Lepisosteus oculatus: one gene and its partners. The protein of the gene in region 3 interacts with the protein of the main gene of each other region in a pairwise test. Links are inferred from orthologs where the notes say so. Each region holds a gene or a part of one and is shown on either strand. Other genes may lie near its edges.

The links.
Region 1: the proteins of cryabb (region 3) and crybb2 interact in a two-hybrid assay, tested with the Homo sapiens proteins (2 studies listed by BioGRID and IntAct). The link is inferred for Lepisosteus oculatus from reciprocal best matches to the Homo sapiens genes CRYAB and CRYBB2.
Region 2: the proteins of cryabb (region 3) and lbh interact in a two-hybrid assay, tested with the Homo sapiens proteins (2 studies listed by BioGRID, with this or other methods). The link is inferred for Lepisosteus oculatus from reciprocal best matches to the Homo sapiens genes CRYAB and LBH.

What each region holds. Positions count from the first base shown.
Region 1 is NC_090717.1:140,453-147,970, reverse strand, and holds the start of crybb2 (beta-crystallin B2), read left to right. Parts: upstream 1-4,016; 5' UTR 4,017-4,100; intron 4,101-4,853; 5' UTR 4,854-4,880; coding exon 4,881-4,943; intron 4,944-5,617; coding exon 5,618-5,736; intron 5,737-5,848; coding exon 5,849-5,981; intron 5,982-6,076; coding exon 6,077-6,219; intron 6,220-7,518. Other genes in the region: crybb3 (beta-crystallin B3), read left to right, coding at 38-180, 876-1,077. UniProt on the Homo sapiens protein: Crystallins are the dominant structural components of the vertebrate eye lens.
Region 2 is NC_090697.1:29,447,549-29,455,702, reverse strand, and holds the start of lbh (protein LBH), read right to left. Parts: upstream 3,503-8,154; 5' UTR 3,267-3,502; coding exon 3,238-3,266; intron 1-3,237. UniProt on the Homo sapiens protein: Transcriptional activator which may act in mitogen-activated protein kinase signaling pathway.
Region 3 is NC_090718.1:15,357,729-15,366,076, forward strand, and holds the start of cryabb (crystallin, alpha B, b), read left to right. Parts: upstream 1-5,062; 5' UTR 5,063-5,219; coding exon 5,220-5,408; intron 5,409-6,699; coding exon 6,700-6,822; intron 6,823-6,998; coding exon 6,999-7,202; 3' UTR 7,203-8,348. Other genes in the region: hspb2 (heat shock protein beta-2), read right to left, coding at 1-201, 2,231-2,324. UniProt on the Homo sapiens protein: May contribute to the transparency and refractive index of the lens. Has chaperone-like activity, preventing aggregation of various proteins under a wide range of stress conditions.

The DNA of each region.
Region 1 (7,518 bases), on a different chromosome or scaffold from region 3:
GAGTATTGAAGGATGCATGTGGGTGTCTCTCCACCAGGACAGCGCAGAGCACAAGCTCCTCCTGTTCGAGAACGCTGGCTTTGCTGGGCGCAAGATGGAGATCGTGGACGATGACGTGCCCAGCCTGTGGGCGCACGGGTTCCAGGACCGCGTTGCCAGTGTGAAGGCACTCAATGGAACGTAAGGCCCACCCCACTGTACCCCCTGAGTCACCTGTCCGTCTGTCTCCATCCTGCTGCACCTCATCCTGTACCCCTGCTTGTGAACCCTGTTCTCCCTTTGGGACCTCCCCAACTACACTATACCCCACTGTACCCCTCTGCACTGTACTCCCCTGTAACCCACTGTACTCCTCTCCACTGTACTCCCCCTTACCCCACTGTACCCCTCTACATTGCACTCCCTGTACTCCCCTGTACCCCTCTACACTCCGCTGTACCTCTACACTGTACTCTCCTGTATCCCACTATACCTCTCTGCACTGCACTCCCTGTACCCTACTACCCCTGTGCGCTGTACTCCACTGTACCCCTCTGCACTGCACTCCCTGTACCCCACTGTAACCTTCTATAGTGTACCCCACTGTATCCCTCTACACTGTACTCCCCTGTACCCCACACTACCCCTCTAAACTGCACTCCCTGTACTGCACTCTACCCCTCTATACTGTACCCCACTGTACCCTTCTACACTGCACTCCCTGTACCCCACAGTCCGGGTGAGTGTTGTGTTGGCTCCTCGACACTCGATGCTGCAGTGTCTTCGCTGGCCTCTCACTCTGCTCTCATGCTGTCTGACTGACCTCTTCGACTTCTGTCTCCTTTGATATCTAGAAGGCCAAATAGGAGGTCTAATGAACCTTTTCATTCCTGCAGGTGGGTGGCCTACATGTACCCGGGCTACAGGGGGCGCCAGTTCGTGTTCCAGCATGGCGAATACAAGCACTGGAACGACTGGGAGGCCGCGCTGCCGCAGATCCAGTCTGTGCGCCGCGTGCGCGACATGCAGTGGCACAAGAAGGGCTGCTTCACCCTGCCAGCCATGCCCGCCCCCCCCACGGCTCCCAGCAGCAGCTGAAGGAGACCAGAGCCCACCTCCCACGCCAGTCTCACCCCCACCCCCCTCCCTCGCTGCGCCAAGAAACGGCGCATGCACAGGTGACTGTGTGCGAGTGAGACAAACTGGCAATAAAGATACTCTTAACCCAGCATATGCCTCATGCCTGAGTTCATTCCAGCCACCATGTATATGTCTGGGCCTGCTCTGGCCTCCCAGTAAGAGGATACATTGTACAATCAACACAGCAACTATCCTTCAGAAAACACTGTGATTTACCGAGATTTCACTGTGCCTCACTATAATCTCACAGGATTCCATTCAACTGTACCGTGAATTCACTGTGCTTCACCATAAACTCACTGGATTTCACTGTGCCATACTGGGATTTCACTGTTGTTTCACTGGGATTTCACTTTTCCTCACCTACTGTGATGAAAGAGGGGCCATACTCCTTCAATTTAGTAATTTATTTGACGAACCAAACAATAATCAGTTGAATTAATTAATTAAGCTATTAATAATAAAGGCCCTGGGGTTGGAGGAGAGCAGTGCTGTGCTTCTGGGAATGTTACCTGCAGAGCAGAGGGCAGCCGCCCCAGCGGGATGCACCGCGAGGGCCGTCAACAGGGTCGAGGCCCAGCAGTCCTGCAGAGGTTCAAGCCTCCCAAGGGATGTGTTCCCGGTGTGGAGCGTAGGGCGGAGGTCAGGGGTCAGAGGTCAGGGGTGTGTCTCACAGCTGGTTTAAGACAGGATCTCGCTGCTCTGCAGTGACGCTTGCCCCGCTCCTTCCCCCTGTGTGTCCACTGCTGGCTTTGTACTGTGAGCTCCTACCTGACCTCTTAATTACCACACCCTCTCTTGAGAGGACTTCCAGGACTTCTGCTCAGCGGCACCACGGAGCCTTCATCCCGCCAGGCTCCCCCAGGGGCGCACCTCACTTTAGCTTACTGTCCTGGGACCCCCAAAGGACACCTCTAAAAGAGACACACTTGGTGATTCCTTTGTTACTTTAGCAGACGTACAGTGGTTGAAACCCTTCTGAAGGCAGGATATTAGTAGGACCAGGTCTTCCAGAATCACTGGACAACCTCCTCTGGTCAAACCCCAGGAGTAGCGTCAGGGTCAGGATCAGGGCTGGACCAGTCACTTCCGGGAGCTCAGTCTGACGAGACTGGGTAGTGCTATGCCGGTCAGCTGTTCACACAGGTCAGACTGGACTGGGCAGTTCTGTGCCGGTCAGCTGTTCACACCGGTCAGACTGTGCAGGAGAGAAAGGAAGTTGCGTTGTGTGCTGAAGTGCACGTAAACCAGTAGACCATTAGATGGCGGTCTCTCATCTCTTCACAGTATAAATTCCAAACCAATGACAGGATCAGACATCAACCTGTCTGTACATCTCCTACCTGAAGACATCATTTCTAGGCTTGATTTCTCCAAGAGAGAAACTGAGACTTGAGAGATTCCCTCTGTCTCCACTTAACAGGGACTTACTGGCCTGACTGATGAGATACAGTGCCAATGAAGCACTAACAGTTAGCAGAACATTTACATACATTCACGACAAAACATTGTTATTAGGCTTTTACAACATAAAACATTATTTCCAGACAGGCTCACTGTCTGTTCCTCAGGCTGTGACAGGAGATCACACACTGTATTATTATTATTGAGAGACAGGCTCACTGTCTGTTCCTCAGGTTGGGACAGGAGATCACACACAGTATTATTATTGCGAGACAGGCTCAGTGTCTGTTTCTCAGGCTGTGACAGGAGATTACACACTGTATTATTATTGAGAGACAGGCTCACTGTCTGTTCCTCAGGTTGGGACAGGAGATCACACACAGTATTATTATTGCGAGACAGGCTCAGTGTCTGTTTCTCAGGCTGTGACAGGAGATTACACACTGTATTATTATTGAGAGACAGGCTCACTGCCTGTTCCTCAGGCTGGGACAGGAGATCACACACCGTTTTATTATTGAAAGACAGGCTCACTATTCCTCAGGTTGGGACAGGAGATCACACACTGTATTTTTATTATTATTATTGAGAGACATGCTCATTGTCTATTCCTCAGGCTGTGACAGGAGATCACACACTGGGCTGACAATTCAACCCCTCTCTCTCCTACTAGGATTGGGAACTGTTCTGATTCTGGCAGGTTTGGGAATTCTGGGATTAGATTTGTCAATTTTGGGAAGAATGTTTGTCTAATCCCAGAACATTTGTCGCAGGTAGTGCTTCTTTGTCTCTGTTTCTCCCCTCTGGTAGTGGGAGCACAGCCTGTGCTCTCTGGGCAGCCAGGTCTGCCTGTGTCGCCCAGTTTCTATGGCCAGGCTGTGGTCACTGAGCCTGTACTTCGTCAGGGTCTGTTTCTTTTTGCTAAAAATGTGGCTAGTGTGTATTGTCTGTTTAGGATTTAAGGCATTCCAGTTTATGTTGTGTTTGTGTGTGTGTCCCAGTGTGTGAGATATTGCTGTTTGATCTGTGCTGTGATGTGGTTGAGTCTGAGTTGTGGTGCTCTAGCAGTGCTGTCCTGAGGCTGGCTGGTGTCAGTGTGGCTCAGGTCAGTGAGCCTCAGGACCAGCTGGCTCAGAGGGCTCTTTGTTGGGCTCAGCTCTTGGCTCAGCAGGGCCTTGTGGTGGAAGGAATTTTGGTCGCTGTTTTTTAGATGTGACCAATCCTCTTCCCTCTCACCCCCTTCTCTCTCCCCTCCCCATCGCCCTGCTGCCTCTGGTGCCAGTGCAGTGTGCTGTGCCCAGCGAGCCCTTTGTTCCTGGGTGCTGGCTGCGCTCTTGGCATGTCGCGGGCTGAATCATCCAAACATACAACAAAGCACAGCCCTGGCTGTCCTGCTGAGGGCAGACAATGCTCCCCCAGGTCATCTGACCACCGGGCCCATTGAGCTTTAATCTGCCTCAATCCGGGTGTGATGGTGGGGGCAGTCAGGTAGGGAGGTTTCTGGCACAGCTCTCCTGCCCAGGGGTATAAAGGGGCTGTGTTCACTGTCCGCACTGCACTGGCTCACTCAAGTACTGGTAAGGGTATCGCTGTCTCCTCTCTCCATGTCTCCCTGTCTCTCGTCTCTGCTCTCTGTCTCCTCTCTCCCTGTCTCCTGTCTCATATCTTCTGCTTACTGTAGTCTCGTTGCTTCTCAATCAGTTGCTTTGTTAGGTGTACAGTAGATACTCTCCAGGTGTCAGTGTGTACAGTAGATACTCTCCAGGTGTCAGTGTGTACAGTATATAGACTCCAGGTGTCAGTGTGAACAGTAGATACTCTCCAGGTGTGCAGTGTGTACAGTATATAGACTCCAGGTGTCAATGTGTAAGCTAGATACACTCCAGGTGTCAGTGTGTACAGTAGATACTCTCCAGGTGTCAGTGTGTACAGTATACTGTATAGAATCCAGGTGTCAGTGTGTACACTAGATACACTCCAGGTGTCAGTGTATACAGTAGATACTTTCCAGGTGTGCAGTGTGTACAGTATATAGAATCCAGGTGTACAGCATGTACAGTAGATACTTTCCAGGTGTCAGTGTATACAGTAGATACTTTCCAGGTGTGCAGTGTGTACAGTATATAGAATCCAGGTGTACAGTAGATACTTTCCAGGTGTCAGTGTGTACAGTAGATACTTTCCAGGTGTGCAGTGTGTACAGTATATAGAATCCAGGTGTACAGCATGTACAGTAGATACTTTCCAGGTGTCAGTGTGTACAGTAGATACTTTCCAGGTGTCAGTGTGTACAGTAGATGATCTCTAGCTTCATTTCTCTCTGCTCACAGACATCACAGCTCCACATCACTGTAACCATGGCTACAGACCACCAGACTCCAGCATCCAAACAGCAGCAGCCTGGCAGCACTGCCTTCAAGGTGAGCAGGAGTCAGTGTGGGCCGCAGGCTGCCCCAAGGTCATGTGGAGTCCACTCTGAAGTGCCCCTGGGCCTGAGAAAGGCAGTCCTCTGTGTGGAGCTGCCATCTCAGGCAGGGGGTGTCATCTGCACAATGAGAAGTAACGATTCTCAGGCACCAGGGTGCCCTTTGAGCCCCCGTCAGGCATTTGTGAGGCTCTGAGTCTCTTTAGTCTGAAGGGAGTGTCCCACACTGAGAGGCTGAAGGAACTGAGTCTCTTTAGTCTAAAGGGTGTGTCAGTGTCCCACACTGACAGGCTGAAGGAACTGAGTCTCTTCATTCTTGAAGAGAGATGACTGTGAGGAGACCTGAGGCAAATCTTCAAAGGCAGCAACAAAGTCAACCTAGTGAACTTCTTCTGAATAAACAGTGAAACATGAGCCAGAGGGCACCAGTGGAAATGACATGAAAGTGCATTTAAATCTGAGAACAGGAGCCACACCTTTACACGAAGGGTTGTGGGAGTCAGGAACAAGATACCTCCAAAACCTGGCTTCATTAAAGAGTCACATGGATGTGATCATGGGACTATTGAGTTACACAGACAGACTTGCCCTCTTGCTTGTACATGTTTTTCTGCCCATTTGGTCAGAATGATTCACAGTTTGTCTCTTTGCCTCTGTCCTCTCCCCCAGCTTGTCATCTTTGAGCAGGAGAACTTCCAGGGCCGCTGCCACGAGCTGACCGGCCCGTGCCCCAGCCTGAGGGAGGGAGGAGTGGAGAAAGTGGGGTCCATCCTTGTTCAGTCTGGACCGTGAGTGGGGGAAGGGGGAGGGACTGGCAGCGAAGGGAAGGGGACTGGCAGCGAAGGGGAGAGGGGAGAATGTGCATTAAGCTGCTCCTCTCCACTCTATCTCTCTTCCCAGCTGGGTGGGCTACGAGCAGCCCAATTGCAAGGGGGAGCAGTTTGTGTTTGAGAAGGGGGAGTATCCTCGCTGGGACTCCTGGACCAACAGTCGCCGTAGCGACAGCATCGCAGCATTCCGGCCCATCAAAGTGGTACGCCGCCCCGTGCCTCTGTCTGCTGCTGCTCGGTCTGCCGCCATGTTTGTCTCTCCTCACTGCTTCCCTCTTTCCCTGCCTCCCCTTCTCAGGACAGCCAGGAGCACAAGATCGTTCTGTACGAGAACCCCAACTTCTCTGGCAAGAAAATCGAAATTGTAGATGACGACGTTCCCAGCTTCCATGCTCATGGATACCAAGAGAAGGTCTCCTCTGTCCGAGTGCAGAGCGGAACGTGAGTCTCAAACAAGCAGATGCACAAACACACAGAGAATCACAGAGACACACAGACACAAAGAGACACAAAGACACATGGAGACACACAGACACACAGACGCACAGACACACAGACTCACAGACACACAGACACAAAGAGGCACAAAGAGACACAAAGAGACACAGATGCACAGACACACAGACACACAGAGACACAGAGACCACAGTTACATGGAGACACACAGAGACCACAGACACACAGACACAGAGACACAGAGAGGCAGAAACACCCACACACAGAGACACAAGGACACACAGAGACACACAGAGACAGAGACCACACACACACAGGCACACATACACAGACACACAGAGACACAGACACACACAGAGACACAGACACAGACACACAGACACACAGAGACACAGAGACCACAGACGCACAGAGACACAGAGACCACAGACATGTATAGACCACAGTTACACAGAGACACACAGAGACCACAGACACACACAGAGACACAGACACAGACACACAGACACACAGAGACACAGAGACCACAGACGCACAGAGACACAGAGACCACAGACATGTATAGACCACAGTTACACAGAGACACACAGAGACCACAGACACACAGGCACACAGACACAGACACACAGAGACACATGGAGACACAGAGACACACAGGCACACAGAGATACAAACAGAGACACACAGACATACAGAAACACAGAAACACAGAGACCACAGACACACAGATACACAGACACACAAACACACAGACACTCAGCTACACAGACACACAGAGACACACAGATACACAGACACAGAGACATACAGAGACCACAGACACACGGAGACACATACACACATGCAGACAAAATCTGTAGATTTAATTTTACTTTTATTTTTTGTTTTGTTTTGTGTTAATTTTATTATTTTTATTTGCTTTGGCAACACTGATTGTATCCATCGGTCATGTTAACAAATCACCTTGAATTGAATCGAATTGAAATAACACACAGAGACACAGAGACACAGACACACAGAGACACAAACATACAGAGACACAAACATACAGAGACACAGACACACAGAGACACACAGACACATGGAGACACACAGAGATACAGACATACAGAGACACACAGACACACAGACACATAGAGACACACAGACACACAGACACACAGAGACAGAGACACACAGACACACGGAGACACAGAGACACACAGACACACAGAGACAAAAAGACACATGGAGACACAGACACACAGACACACATGGAGACACACAGAGACCACAGAGACCACA
Region 2 (8,154 bases), on a different chromosome or scaffold from region 3:
ACTGTCACTGTTCAGTCAACATCACTGACGCGTTCCCTGGAGAGCAAGACCACAATGAGTTGGCACTAAAAGTGTTCCTCACCCCAGTGTTCAGTACAGCCTTCCCATGCGACAGCTCTACAGACTCACAGCAGCAGGGGCTCACCTGGCCTCCATCAGAGCTGAGCTCTTCACGTGGATACCTCCCAGGGTCCTCCGTGTTCACAGGCTGGTGGTTTTAAGTTGTTTAAACGCACTGGCTAAACTGCACCTCCTGCACATTAATGAAGATCTAATCCAAAAGCTTGTAATCAGGTCAACTGAGGGCTCAGTCATTTAACTGATGCGCACGTAACGAGCCGGCCTGCTCCTCCAGGGCAGCCTGAGCCACAGACTGGGCCTGCTGTGGAGGAACGAGCCGGCCTGCTCCTGCAGGGCACCCTGAGCCACAGACTGGGCCTGCTGCGGAGTAACGAACCGGCCTGCTCCTCCAGGGCACCCTGAGCCACAGACTGGGCCTGCTGTGGAGTAACGAATCGGCCTGCTCCTGCAGGGCACCCTGAGCCACAGACTGGGCCTGCTGTGGAGTAACGAACCGGCCTGCTCCTCCAGGGCAGCTTGAGCCACAGACTGGGCCTGCTGTGGAGTAACGAACCGGCCTGCTCCTACAGGCTGCCTGAGCCACAGACTGGCCTGCTCCTCCTAGCTATGATCCCAGGAGCTGTGTTACTCATGTACTTTGCCCGATGGGTGACAGTTACAGAGTACTGACTGAAATCGCCAGCAGACTTGGCCTCACTAGCTGCCCAAGAGTCTCAAAGAGTTGAGCACATCAGCTCCTACAACCTCAGCCTTGAGGGAGATTCTTCAGGACTGTTTTGATCTAGAACATAAATGTCACAATCAAAGGAGCCACTTGGCCCATCAGGCCAGCTTGGTAGTTAGTAGTTAGCTGATCCCAGGATCTCATGCAGCTCCTTCTTCAAAGCAACCAGAGCATCAGCTTCAACAACATGGCAGGGCAACACTCCTCCCTCTGTGTATAGACGGCCGCCTGTCCTTTACTTTCAGTGCACTTCCTCACAGGCTCCACTTGTGTCCTCTGGTTCATGTTTCACTGTTAATTCTGAAGAAATGATCTGGGTTGACTTTTGTCTAAAAATGTTCAATGCTTGTATCAGGTCTCCTCACAGTCGTCTCTGCTCAAGACTAAAGAGACTCAGTTCCTTCAGTCTGTCAGTGCAGGACGGTCCTTTAATATTTGTACAGGTATCAGTCTCCTCACAGTCTTCTCTGCTCAAGACTAAAGAGACTCAGTTCCTTCAGTCTGTCAGTGCAGGATGGTCCTTTAATATTTGTACAGGTATCAGTCTCCTCACAGTCTTCTCTGCTCAAGACTAAAGAGACTCAGTTCCTTCAGTCTGTCAGTGCAGGACAGTCCTTTAATATTTGTATCAAGTTCTTTCCCCGTGCTACCAGAACCCAGGACCTGCAGGCCTGCACAGCCTCACTGTCCTACCAGAACCCAAGGCTGTGGGCCTGGACTGCCTCACAGTGCACAGGCACACACTATCTCACCACCGGCAGCTGCACCCTGTACAAACAGCACACTAACCAGACCAGGCTACTGGAAACCCCGGTTCTCTAATGACTAAGAATTACCGTTCTAATTAGCAACGGGCTAGTGGGCTGAAACTGAACAGGAGCTGTAATGGCAGGCCTGTACTGAGGAAGTGCAGACGCAGGGGAACTCGGACTGCCCCAGCGCAGGGCAGGGCCTCTTCTACAGCCAGCCACAGCGGAAGACTTTACTGCACGGCACTCTCTAACCGCAGGGCTCGGGTTCGAGCACCGTAACACACAGACTGCAGCTCAACCAGCAGGACAGTCAGGGACATGCCTGGAGCTGGGCTCTGCAGTGGAGACGCTGGCCCTCTGGGCTTTAACGAGTGCCAGTCCCCTGTGCTGCCCCTGGGCACAGCGGTGCCACCCTGCCGTGACCCCTGACAGGGGCTGGGCTGACCCCAGGGAACAGGGGCACCAAGAAATCCCACTGAGACAAGAGGGGCAAAGGAGCACTGTGAGAACACAGGCATGGTGTCAGCACTGTGAAACAGCCCCACACACACACTGTGACCCTGAAACAGGCACCAGGAGCCCCCCCACACACACTGTGACCCTGAAACAGGCACCAGAAGCCCCCCCACACACACTGTGACCCTGAAACAGGCACCGGGAGCCCCACACACCCTCTGTACTGTGACCCTGAAACAGGAACCAGGAGCCCCCCCACACACACACTGTGACCCTGAAACAGGCACCAGGAGCCCCATACAGTGTTCATTGACACTGGTCATCTTAGCAGAGCTCGACTTTAACCCAACGCTTCAATTCGCTGTCTTTTGCGACAGCGCTGCGAGGTGACTAGATACTGAAAGCCAGCCATTTTCACGAACACCTAAACATTACAGGAAACACGCGCACAGCGCTCTCCAGGCACCCACGGAGCCCTGAAACTCGTCCCACGAACGTCTGGGATGATTGCTCGTGCACACGGTAGGAAAAAAAAAAACAGTGCCGTCGGTAAAACACTTTCAGACCAAAGGCGCTGTTATTTTTTCCATCTGCTGTGGAAAGGGACTCCACTCGTCTCCTGCGCGATTTCTTGAGAACTCGCAGCGAGAACTGCAGGGGGGGGGAGGGCAGAGGCTCCGGTCTGACCTGGGGCAGGAGCGCTTTGCCGCTCACCGCGCCGCGCAGAAAACGACAGATTCTCCGCCGCTCTCCCGCAGCGCCGCGGCGGGCGTGAGATTCGCCGGACAGCCTCGCCGGAGCCTCGGTGCATCGTGCCTCCCCAGCCCGGTGGGCGTCTGGCTCGGTCTCGCACCAGGGCTCTCCGACAAAATCCAGCAGAGACACAGCCGGACCCCCGTCTTAGAAATTAATGAGGACCTGCCGGTACACGAGTGGACACCCCAACGCGCCAACCCCACGCTAAAGCTGCACCTCCGGAGCTCCGACAGTCAGAGGTCACCCCGAGGACAAACTCGCGCTGCCCAGGTGGGCGCTCTGTCCACCTCCTGCCCGCTGCAGGATGGGATTTCAAACACCTCTCCCAACTGCCCCCCCCCGCGCAGGACACCGGGGGCCCGAGGAAGAGGGGGGGACAGGTAACCGAGGCTGAGAGGGGGGTGAGACAGAGAGACGGGCAAGGGTGGAAGGAGACGGAGAGAGGGGCAGAAAGAAGACGGTACTTACCAGTTTACCTGGGAATAGCACACAGACATGAATTCACACCTGCGGATGGGGCGAAAGAACACGGTGATGGGAGAAATGACTTCTCAGCTCGCTGCTGTCCTGATATACGTCCACGGCTGTGAGGAACTACAGCCCGGCACTGCCGGTGACGCACAACATCAGCGAAAACAGAAAGTTACAATAACAACAAAAAAGAAAGTCCCCTTGCTGCTGACGTCCCCTATACCTCCACTTCCTAATACTGCTCTCAGCGTCTGAACCGCTGACAGGCGGCTGCCTCGGTTTATATAGTGGGGGGCGTGTCCTTCTCCTGCAGCCACTCCCGTCGCAGCCAGGGCCTGAAATTCTTCAATGGCAACACTCGCGCCGAGCGCCGGCTCGCGCACCGCCTCTGACCAATCACGGGCGAGCAGATCCCGATTCATTGAGGAAAAAAAAAGCGCTTGACAGCCACAGGCAGGCACTGCGACACGCGCGCCACACCCGCGCTGAGACACGGAGAGACACACACACACACGTACACATTATCCACACTGCCCGCAACAGATCTGGAGACACAGCAATGCGCACAGTCACGGCATGCAAGACAGAGGTCCGATTACCGTTCTCACACTGCTACACAATGAGACGGTGCAACACCAGCGTTACGTTGTGATGTGCCACTGAAGTCACAAAGGTATTAATTACTGCGAGATGCGGCTGGGGATCAGGGAGAGAGGAAGTTATTTTCTTTACCTTACCAGTGTGGATGCTCGGGCTGGCCCATCCCTAGACCTCCTCCAGTTCCTTTTTGGCCTGTCCTGGATCCCAGTTCACAGGAGGACTCAGCCACAGTCCAGGATCGCTGGTGTCCTTCTGCCAAGGCCAGTCCAGCTCTCCTGTGATTGTTTTGCGGTCCTCAAGGCAACATTTCCACCTGGAGGGCTCTCTGTCAGGGAAAACCTGCGCCTCTGTGCTCCTTGATTTCACTTCTAATTCATCTTCTCCCGATCTCTGCTCCTGCTGGGCCTGCAGTCCCCTGAAATACTCTCGTGAGTTGGGCTTGTCTGTAGCTTTTAAATGACTTCCCTCCCTATCACATCAGTTCAATAATAATAATTATTATCAACCCAAACTGCCTGACATACAGGAGGGGACCCAGTTCACCCCCCACACAGCAGCCATTCCGTATCAGCTGCCCCACCAGGGTCACAAACACACAATGGAGGGTCAGTGTGTCTGCGGGGTGTCCAGTCCTGGAGGGTCAGTGTGTCTGCGGGTGTCCAGTCCTGGTCCTGGAGGGTCAGTGTGTCTGCAGGGTGTCCAGTCCTGGTCCTGGAGGGTCAGTGTGTCTGCAGGGTGTCCAGTCCTGGAGGGTCAGTGTGTCAGCAGGGTGTCCAGTCCTGCAGGGTCAGTGTGTCTGCAGGGTGTCCAGTCCTGGTCCTGGAAGGTCAGTGTGTCTGCAGGGTGTCCGGTCCTGGTCCTGGAAGGTCAGTGTGTCTGCAGGGTGTCCAGTCCTGGAAGGTCAGTGTGTCTGCAGGGTGTCCAGTCCTGGTCCTGGAGGGTCAGTGTGTCTGTAGGGTGTCCAGTCCTGGAGGGTCAGTGTGTCTGCAGGGTGTCCAGTCCTGGTCCTGGAGGGTCAGTGTGTCTGCAGGGTGTCCAGTCCTGCAGGGTCAGTGTGTCTGCAGGGTGTCCAGTCCTGGGGGGTCACTGTGCCTGCAGGGTGTCCAGTCCTGGTCCTGGAGGGTCAGTGTGTCTGCAGGGTGTCCAGTCCTGGAGGGTCAGTGTGTCTGCAGGGTGTCCAGTCCTGGTCCTGGAAGGTCAGTGTGTCTGCAGGGTGTCCAGTCCTGGTCCTGGAAGGTCAGTGTGTCTGCAGGGTGTCCAGTCCTGGTCCCGGAAGGTCAGTGTGTCTGCAGGGTGTCCAGTCCTGGAGGGTCAGTGTGTCTGCAGGGTGTCCAGTCCTGGAGGGTCAGTGTGTCTGTAGGGTGTCCAGTCCTGGAGGGTCAGTGTGTCTGCAGGGTGTCCAGTCCTGGAGGGTCAGTGTGTCTGCAGGTGTCCAGTCCTGGTCCTGGGGGGTCAGTATGTCTGCACGGTGTCCAGTCCTTGTCCTGGAGGGTCAGTGTGTCTGCAGGGTGTCCAGTCCTGGAGGGTCAGTGTGTCTGCAGGGTGTCCAGTCCTGGTCCTGGAGGGTCAGTGTGTCTGCAGGGTGTCCAGTCCTGGTCCTGGGGGGTCAGTGTGTCTGCAGGGTGTCCAGTTCTGGTTCTGGAGGAGTCTCTTCAAAGCAACACCAGAACAGCTGGTCAGCAAATACACCTGCCGTCCGGTACTGTAGTGGACACCGTGCTCCACTCGGGACTCCATGATCTGTCACTTGGCTGGGTGGGAATCACAGGACCCCCTCAGTGGCACTCAGGAGCTGCTGGTGTGGTTCTCTAGTGCTTGAAGTAATCTTCACGCCTGAACGTGCACTGCAGGTCTCCTGCACGTCTTTCCTCAGAGGCAGGAGGTGTGTTGAGGCCCAAGGAAGCCGGCTGTCAGCATCCCAGATGTTAATCCAGAAGAGTAAGGTTTGTGGCCGCCAATTTTGTAGTTTTGATTCCAACACAGTTCTCAAAGGCTGAATGGAACCACATGCTGGGTTAATACTCTCTTCTGTGGACATCTATAGAACCAGGAGTAGAGGTCAAGAACTCTGTACTGTAGATCTTGGATATGGTACCTCTGGTTTCTTACACTTTACTGCCCTCACGTGGAAAGGAGGGGATAACAGCAAGGATGCAGAAGCCATGGATGGGAAAGCTGAGACACAAATATGTAACAAACTCCCACAAGAGATCTTTCAGGAAGTCTACAGTTCTGTTACAATAGGAGCTACAGTCCCAGTACAGTAGAACAGTTCTGTTACAATAGGAGCTACAGTCCCAGTACAGTAGAACAGTCCTGTTACAATAGGAGCTACAGTCCCAGTGCAGTAGATCAGTCCTGTTACAATAGGAGCTACAGTCCCAGTACAGTAGATCAGTCCTGTTACAATAGGAGCTACAGTCCCAGTGCAGTAGATCAGTCCTGTTACAATAGGAGCTACAGTCCCAGTACAGTAGATCAGTCCTGTTACAATAGGAGCTACAGTCCCAGTGCAGTAGATCAGTCCTGTTACAATAGGGGCTACAGTCCCAGTGCAGTAGAACAGTCCTGTTACAATAGGAGCTACAGTCCCAGTGCAGTAGAACAGTCCTGTTACAATAGGAGCTACAGTCCCAGTACAGTAGAACAGTCCTGTTACAATAGGGGCTACAGTCCCAGTACAGTAGATCAGTCCTGTTACAATAGGAGCTACAGTCCCAGTACAGTAGAACAGTCCTGTTACAATAGGAGCTACAGTCCCAGTGCAGTAGAACAGTCCTGTTACAATAGGGTCTACAGTACCAGTACAGTAGAACAGTCCTGTTACAGTGGGAACTACAGTCCCAGTACAATACAACAGTCCTGTTACAATAGGAGCTACAGTCCCAGTACAGTAGAACAGTCTGTTACAATATGGGCTACAGTCCCAGTACAGTAGAACAGTCCTGTTACAATAGGGGCTACAGTACCAGTACAGTAGAACAGTCTTGTTACAGTGGGAACTACAGTCCCAGTACAATACATCAGTCCTGTTACAATAGGAGCTACAGTCCCAGTGCAGTAGATCAGTCCTGTTACAATAGGGGCTACAGTCCCAGTGCAGTAGAACAGTCCTGTTACAATAGGAGCTACAGTCCCAGTGCAGTAGAACAGTTCTGTTACAATAGGGACTACAGTCCCAGTACAGTAGAACAGTCCTGTTACAATAGGGGTTACAGTCCCAGTACAATAGAACAGTCCTGTTACAGTGTTATAGAAGTTTATAGAAGAAGAAAAGATTGAGAGTTTTGAAAGAAAATGGCTAGTATCATTCAGTGAATGCATAATTGAATCAAGAGAAAATTACATTTAATACAACTAATTGAACTTTGTACTGCTTATGTAGAGGTGTCTGTCTCCCTCTGCTGGAGATTCCTTAATTTTACAGCTAGAGAAGAGTAATTACAAATTCATCTCCAAAGGAGTGCTCAAAATACACTGGAAACAGTTCAGAGTCACAGCCTCACAGAGAACTGGTCAGTGCTCACTGGACATAGTGCAGACTCACAGAGCTCCAGTATAGTGGTCAGTACATACTTGACACACAGCACAGTCCCAGAGCTCCAGAGGATTGGTCAGTGCTCACTGGACATAGTGCAGAGTCACAGAGCTCCAGTGTAGTGGTCAGTACATACTGGACACACAGCACAGTCCCAGAGCTCCAGAGGATTGGTCAGTGCTCACTGGACATAGTGCAGAGTCACAGAGCTCCAGTGTAGTGGTCAGCACATACTGGACACACAGCACAGTCCCAGAGCTCCGGAGGATTGGTCAGTGCTCACTGGACATAGTGCAGAGTCACAGAGGTCCAGTATAGTGGTCAGTACATACTGGACACACAGCACAGTCCCAGAGCTCCAGAGGATTGGTCAGTGCTCACTGGACCCTATGCCAGACTGTGTGGAGGAAGTTTAAATTTCACATGATAATCTCTTCTTTGACACAACAAACCTCGATTTTGCAGCAGAAGACAGAATTATAATTGATCTCTGATGGAGTGACCCTGTAGCACACTTCTCACACTGTGCCTAGGACAGCATTGGCCAGTGTGAAGTGTACCCCGTTTCTCTAAGGTCTGGCTTCCTTCTGGAACACCATAACTCCAGATTGTCAGTCAGCGCCCAGCCCTGACAGTACTGCTCCAGAAGGTCTGTGGGCGACAGCAGGACCAGGGCATCCTCATAGAGCAGGAACTTGATCTTTGTGTCATGCAGTATGAGACCAGGAGCTGCAGACTGTTCCATCATCTCAGTTAATGAGATACTGTAGATACTG
Region 3 (8,348 bases):
GACCGCTCACCTCCAGCAGGTTGTCCACGGTGCGGACCGCGATCTCGTCCGGCGTGAACTGGCACACGTCCAGCAGCACGCGGAACCAGTCGTCGCCGCTGTCCACCTGCGAGAAGCCCCGCTCCAGCTGCTTGTTGAGCCGCGGGCGGATGTAGTAGCCGTGGTACAGGGTGGGGGCCAGGACGTCCTGAGGCGACAGGCCTGGGGGCGAGAGAGAGCAGCTTCGGCAGGCCAGGCTCAACCTGGGAGCTGGGAGCTGGGAGCTGCAGGGTGACATAGCTGCTGCCATGTTGCACACTGTTTGTTGGCAATAAACAAGAAAAAATCATTCTCGTAATAAAGGATTTACAATTGAGTATGGTGTATGTGCAATTATTTGTGTAATAACAGAGTCAGGACGCTGGCAATGCGCCTCTGTAAGGCTGTGTACAATGTCTCTTCGCTTGTAGCAGATCCTTTTTCTAAACGTTCACAGACGACACTGGTCAGGGACATGTCTCTTTTACCAGAGTAAACCACCTGCCAAGCACAAAGGCTCTGATGCTATTTTGCAGGCCTGCTTCAGAGCCATTACAAAGGAAAGTCATGGTGTGCACTTAATGTATTGATTTTAATATGTTATTTTAATACAGTCAATACATTTCTCACAAATTCCATTCCCTTTGGCACGACGAGACTTCCTCGTCCCCCGCAGAGGACGGGTTCGGAACCTGAGACCCACACTGGGGCAGATGCAAGCCCCTGTCTTTGGGGGGATGGGTCGGTCGCGGGGAGCAGGTGAGGCCCCTGTCAAGCCAGGGTTTCAATCCGGCTGACCCTGGGGTGACCAGCGCGATCCCTCAGCTTCTACTCCTCCTCTGGAGTCTGGATTCGCCGGCGAGAAACAGGCTGAACAAAGGCAGCCCTGCGTGTCTTTTGATAGGGGTGTCAATGTGCTGCCAGGCTGGCTGCTCTGTTCCCAAGACCTCCAGGGTTGTAGGAGGGCAGTTTATTTTCGGGCTGGGCCGGGGAATTCCCCTCCGCCGCCAGACGTCTGTTTTTATTTCCCTCTCAGCCTTTTACTCCTTCATGCTCCGCTGCCACAGAGCAGGAGGCCAAAACAAAGGGAAACTCTCTCCAAGAGTCTAAAGGAAGTTAGGCGAGAGACAAGCCGAAGTTCACAGCTTCTACCACCAGGGGGTGCTCTGCACACATGCCTCTTCGGCCTCTTGAGGAACGAGGCTGGTGCGGCTCATGGGAGGGCGATGTCCGTGACAGCTCTGCCTGGGCCCCCGACAGCAGGAGAGGTCAGGGGCAGGTCGATCTGTCACTTCCCTCTCACGTCAGCACCTCGCCAGCTCCAAGGGGCAATCCGACTGAGACTCGGAGCCCGTGAGCCTGCCTGCCTGCATCCTTACCTCATCACATGCAACTTTCAAGTAATGTCCAGTTATCTATCATGCCCACATACAGGCCTTCAATACCCTGGTACAGTTTTAAGAGCTTTTTAAGCTTTTGGCAAGAATCTAATCCAATTTAATAGCCTCATACAAGCTACAGTCATTTAGTAAAATGTTTAAGATAAGATCACTTTTTTCACCCTATACAGTTTTTTGTATTAGGAATTTGTCTTTTCGCATACTCCAGCTTGCTCTCCATGAGACACACAGACAGGGAGAGAAGCTTGGGGTCGGAGCACAGCCATTTATACAGCACCCCTAGAGCAGTTGGGGTTAAGGGCCTCGCTCGGGGGCCCAACGGAGTAGGATTCCTCCACTGGTCACAGGATTCGAACCAGCAACCTTCCAGCCACAGGCACAGCTCCTCAGCCACAGAGCCACCGCACTGCCCTGCTTCCGCACTTTGTGGACTTGAACCCAGACCATCAGCGACTGCAGATTTGAACCCAGAGCCCAGTGACCACAGACCAGCGCGCTAGATCAGATCATTTGTGTTCCTTCTTCTTGTGGGTCGGTTCTTGGTGAATTTGTTTTTGCTCAGAATGGATGGAGATTTAAGTTTTGTGCAGGAACAGAAAAGGTTGTGAAGCCCCTCTGTGTGCCCAGCTGTTGTGAAGCCCCTCTGTGTGCCCAGCTGTTTAATAGCCCCTCTGTGTTCCTTCTTTCACTCTGAAGAAAAGCGTCCAGTTCCACCAGGACAGGGCGCTGTTGACTTGTGCAGTTCCATGGTTCCACCGCACACACGCCGACCCGACGCACGATCACGAGCCCAGCACAGCGGGAGGCCTTACCTTCCCCGAAGTTCTGGTCGTAGATGCGGCAGGGAGACGCCATCTCGTACTCCACACTCATGGGGTACGCGTGAGGAACGGTGCGCTCCGACATCCCAGCGAGCTGCGAGGGCACGGCGGCTCAGTTCCTCGCGGAAACGACTGGCAGGGTCTGCAGAGAGAGTCGGGGAGAGAGAGAGTGACTGTGTGCCTGTGTTTGCATGGGGCTGATAAAGAGGCCAGAAATAGCCCGGTCACAGACACTCCAAAGGAGACATCATAACTACAAATAAATCCAGAGACAAATACGCCACTGGGATCTCTGATGGATCAGTTTAAAATGGCCCACAGGGACAGGCCAGTCCTGCCTGGACAGACCGGCTGGCAGGGCTCTTGTCTGCGATTCCGAGACGGGATATTACATCTCACCAAGAGCAGCCTGGGACGATTTATTTGAAGGATTAGAAATGCGTGGAATAATTTTGCACTTACTGCAGTACGTCACGACTGGGAGAAGCACTGCAGGCCACAGTGGGACCTGGCTTTGTGTGGAGCTGTGGGAACTGTGATGATGTTACCAGCCTGGTACTGTCAGCACTCTGCTGAATACGGCCCTTCGAACGACAAGGTTGCGAGTGGAATGAAAAGCTGAACCCTCCCGGTAGAGAAAGTGTAAGGAAATACATCTCCCCCCATTCCTGGACCTAAGAATAAGCCCACAGCTCTCAGAGGATATTATATATCACCTAGCTGACCCTGCGGGGTCCGCGGGTGGAGCCCCACACTGCCGCGGACGTCCGAGAGGACGCCGAACTCCAGCCTGTCTCCAGCCGACACCGCCTGTCTCTGCCCTGTTTACAAGACGGCTATTGAGCTCTGCCCCAGGCCTTGCCAAGTCTGGCATCGCCCTGGGGCAGGGGGGAAGTCGAGCGGCTGATTAACAGGCTGCTCTTCTGATGTTTCTCTGGGTGAGGGCGGGGGGGCGACGCCTTTTGTGCACAGCGGAGCAAAGTCACGACAGCAGCAGTTTGCCTCTGCGTGATTCATTTACATGAAAAGTTCAAAGTGAAAGCTGTGTCTTTCTCATATGCATATGATATGAACTGTGCAATATTTCTTTATGTGTATCATACCTGTTGTGAGTATTGACCTGCCCAGGGCTGCACTCCTGTCTTCTGTGGTTCCTGTACATATCAAGTGTGATGTCAGTGCTGGGGCCCCTCCTGGTGATGGAGTGTACTTATTTTGGGCACTACAGGGTGTCCAGGGGTCTAGGCAAGAGTTCTGTCAGGTCCAGGAAGCTCTAGGAGGCTAGTGAATGTGTACAGTATCACAGCAGCTCGTATCTTCTGAAGGAGAAGGCCTTAGAAGTGCAGGGGTGTCAGACTCAGTGACTAAATGATGTCACCAGGTGTAGGCACGTTAACAATAGCGACAATGATCAGGTCAAATCCCACTTCTTTCATGGTTGGATGATAATTCTCTTGACTACAGCAGGTCCCAGGTGAAGGAAGTCCCGAGTGCTTTTTTGTTCATTTTGAATTCTGTTTGCCTTTCCTAGAATAATGTGGCGGGGCTCTTACAGTGATTGTGGCTCTGACTGACACACCAGGGGATGCTAACAGTCCAGCATTCTGGGAGCTGAGTGTTTGGTGATCCGTCAACAGGCCCCTGCAGGTCTCCAGAACTCCACAGAGCTCTACAGTGTTGTTATTGCTGCTCTGCTGATGGCTGCTACTGCTGTTAGCAGCTGTTGCGGGCTGAAGTGGCCTACTGTCCAGTCTACACATCCAGAGAGGTGTTAACATAAGTATTGGCCGAAATATTGTCCAAAATCTGAGCAGGGGGTTCAGAATGGAATAGAGGTGCTTAGTTCCCTTCTTCATGGGAACCAGGGACGAAACAATTTAAAGTAGCCAATCAAGCTCAAGCACGGGGGGGCATGCAGACTCCACACAGACTGATTCCCTAAAGTTGGACACAAACCCGACTCGAGATCTGTGAGGCCACAGTGCCACCCGCTAGTAGATCCTCTTACCCTCCATTGATGCCCTAATAAAAGTGCATTGTGGTTGACTGTGGTGACAGTACAGAGTAGTGAAGTACAGTACAGCTACTGTGCAGCATTAGGTGGTGCTTATCAAAGCATATCCACAGGCACGTACTCTATAGGGAAGATCAGAAATGTCTCGCAAATTTGCTGTTGTAGAATTTCTCAAGTATGAGAGGTAGCTGTGAAAAGCACTCATCACCATACTGTGAAGAACAGCTTTGATAGAGAGTTTAATACCTGCACACATAAAGGACATCTTGAGTGGAGAAGCTGACTAAATAAATGAATGAAGGACCTGCAAAGGCTGGTGCTGTGTCCTGGAGCAGAGGCAGCCTGCGCTGGGCTGCCAGGGGTGGTTTATCCCGGGGCTTGACTCTGCACACAGGGTGCCCTGCCTGCGCCTGGGCAAACACACCCACCAGAGCCTTTGATCCGGCCTGGAGCCTCCCTGGACAAACAGGAGTCAGGGCAGGCGGGGGAGAGGGGCACCGGAGCGCGGCGGAAATAATCCCACCGGCACGCGGGGCAGCCGGAGGAAGAGAGGCCAAGCCCGAGGAGTGCGCGCCAAAAACCGAAACCCGTCTGACAGACGAGCCGGGTCCTGGCGCTGGCCGTGCAGGCACACACAGAAAACCGCGCACCAGCACAAAAGGAGACTTTCCAGCGCTGCGCGCACGGGGGCATCAGCACTATTTAAAATCCCCCAGAACAATCGCAGGGCCGCTTGCCTGAATGAAATCGGACTGCCAGTAATCACGTAAACACACACGGACTGGCACTTGCAGGGGGAGAGGGCGAGCGGGGGAGACGGTTTACATCACCGTTCCAGAAAGTTCAAGAGGAGGGTGGCAGGCTGGCACAGGCTGGTGGGGCGGCTATATAAGTGAGCTGAGGGCCAGAGGCACAGCAGGAGCGGCACGGCAGCAGCAGGCACAGAGTGCGCCCAGCCCAGCCAGCATGGACATCGCCATCCAGCGCCCCTGGTTTCGCCGCCCCCTCTTCTCCTCGTTGTTCCCCGTCCGGATCTTTGAGCAGAACTTCGGGGAGCACATCCCAGAGAGCGAGCTGCTCGCCCCCTTCCCCCTGATGTACTGGCCCCGGGCCTCCTTCCGCGGTGCCAGCTGGATGGACGGCGGCCTGTCAGAGGTGAGGGCCGGGCCTGTTGCGGGTTGACCGTCGACTAACCTTCCAGAGCCAAAGCTCCAGAATTCTCCAGAAGACAAAAGAGACAATCTCTGACTTTTCACAGGTTTGCTGCAGGACCTATAGCTTCTTTCCTACAGAGGAATGTTTTCAAAACTAGCTGTGAAAACCTTAATATTTTGCTAAGTCTTTACTAAACTAAACCGTTGCACGTATGACATATTGAGACCAAGGGCTTGTGGGATATGGAGACCAAGGCTTGAAATCCTTGAGGTGGGAGAGAAAAGGCTTGGAAGGGGGTGTTTTTGTCTGTGAGAGCAGGATGGCCAGGAATGTGACAGCAGGGAAGAGCGCAGCAGATATTGAGACGTCGTATCCACAGCGTCACCAGCACTAGGATCAAGCGCAGTGAAACAGGAGCTGCTGCTCTGCTGTGGGGGGCTGGGTGCTGGCGTTGACGTGGGCACTGAAGTCAGGGAGGAAACGGTGGGGTGTCTCTGGCTCTCTCACACATGAGTCCTGGGGCTCAGTGTCCTGACCTGCTCCGATTCCTGGGGATCCCGTGATGAGGTTCCCTCTGTGTCACGCGAGTCCCTCCCTACTGTGGCAACATTTTCTTGGTAGCATGTTAAAACTTTATTCCTCATAAAACGATCACCAGCTCAAATACCTGAGCCCTGTTAGTTTAAGACAAAAAACCCTGTAGTTTGATGAAACACTCACTCGACAAAGAAAGTGACTCCAACAGTTCGGACATGAAACCAGTACAGCACAGATGATGTGAGCTGTTCCTTTAAGTCCGTCGGCGGGCGCGTGCACATGTTGGCCTCTGAATGTTTAGAATTGCTTCCCGCTGCCTGCAGCCAGCTCAGCCCAGCACCATGCCCTCTGTGTTCGCTGCGAGGTGTCACAATGTGACCCATGGGAGGAATCTCAGAGCGCAGTGCAAACTGCCCACTCCCCCACTCAGCTGACTCCCAGGGTCAGAGCTGCTCTTTCAGACTGCAGAGCGCTCGTCTGTAACCTTCAGCCGCCTAGAAAACCAGCCCTAAAATACCTCTTGGAATTAACCTGCTAAAGCTGGAATTGGTCACACTTAAGAGGCGCTTTGTCAGCTTGTGGCTCTAAGAGAAAGAAACAGATACCTGTATGAATCCTTCTGTTTAATAATGAGGCACACCTGATGGCTCAATGCCCTGCCCTGTGACGGGGATGCTGACCTGTGTGCATGTGAGCAGCCCAGGCTGCACAGGTGTGTTTTTGTGTGCTGACCCTGCTTCCTCCTGGCCGGCAGATGCGTCTGGACAAGGACAGGTTCGCAATCCACCTGGACGTCAAGCACTTCTCCCCCGAGGAGCTGTCCGTCAAGGTCAACGGCGACTTCATCGAGATCCGTGGGAAGCACGAGGACCGCCAGGTAGGGGAACACCCTCCCTCCCTGCCTCTCCATCCCCCTTTTCTCCTGCCTCCTCCCGGCTCCTGCCCTGTCTCCCTGGCCCTCCCCTCTCCACTCTCTCTTTCTCTGCTCCCCTCCTGCAGTCTCCCGGGGTCCAGCCTGCCCTCCAGCGTGCCTTGTGTCTTTCCCTTCGGCAGGATGAGCACGGCTATGTGTCTCGGGAGTTCCACAGGAAGTACAGGATCCCAGGAGGGGTCGAGCCGGGCTCCATCACCTCCTCGCTGTCCGCCGATGGCGTGCTGACGATCAGCGCCACGCGCAACCTGTCCGAAGTGGCCGAGCGCACCATCCCCATCACCCGCGACGACAAGCCCGCTGGGGCTGCGCCGCAGAAGAAGTAGACTTCCTTCTCCCCCGCCCCTTCGCCCTCCCTGGCTCCTCGCCACTGCCACCCCACCACCACCGCCCCGTCTTCCTCGACCCCGGCACCCGCTGAGCCACGGGAAGTGAAGAGAGCCCCCCCCTGCATTTACAGGCAGGGGATAGGACCCCACTCATCCTCCATTACTCAGAAAGGGTGGGCTCATGGAATTCGCTGCTACATCAGGGCCTCTGTCCTCCTAGCTTGCTGAGTAAAATCAAACACGCTGCAGAACAGCTGAATGAGCAAGGGAAGGAGCAGACAAAGGCACACTGAGTGCAGGGCCCTGGTGCAGCTGGACCAGTCAGTCCCTTGAGGAAGGGGGAAAAGGTCCACAGAGTGACAGACGAGCCTCTGTGAAGTCAGCTACTGATCGTGCCTCAAAGACACAAAAACAGTTCAAGGAAGTAGGACAATCTTAGGGAACTTGTGCGTGTAGAAACGCCATGCCCTTAAGTGGGCAGGGTTTATGTGCAGAAGCGAGCCCCGTGACAGAGCACAGGAGCGCTCCAGAGCAGTTTGTAGCTGGAGCTGTGGGGACCATTGCCTCTCTGAGAGTGTGAACCAGATCCTGTGTTCTTGTACAGTCAGGTACCTTGTACCTGAAGGGCAGTTACACTGCAGGGGTGTTGGCAAATCCCAGTCAAGAACGCAGGTATCGGCTTCAGGAAAATCCCCGCTCCACCCAGCTCAAAGGCTGAGGCATTAGGTTTACCGCAGCAGTTGTCTGGAAAATGGTTGCTGAATTTTTTACTTACAGACTTGAAAAAGACCAAAGGAGTGACTGAATAAGTAGTCTGACTTCACAGAGGAGTTAATGACAGGTTCTCTGATAAAATTCTCTTGTTTTTGTATATACTGAAAAGCATTTAAAGTGCAACAAAACACTATTGATTCCAAAACTCATTTGATGCATTTTTAATGCCTCCCTGTATATATTAAAGCACTTTGCTGTAAGTGTAACGCACCTGCCTTCAGTGTGTTTTGACGCTGCTCACATGGCAGTGGTCAAGAGGGAAGTGGGTGTTTTCCCAGTAGAAGCCAGGCCTCTGGTTTGGACACTGGCCCAGATGCACTCTGTGATAACCACAAGGTATACACAGAGGTGTCGCAGCTGCGTGTATTG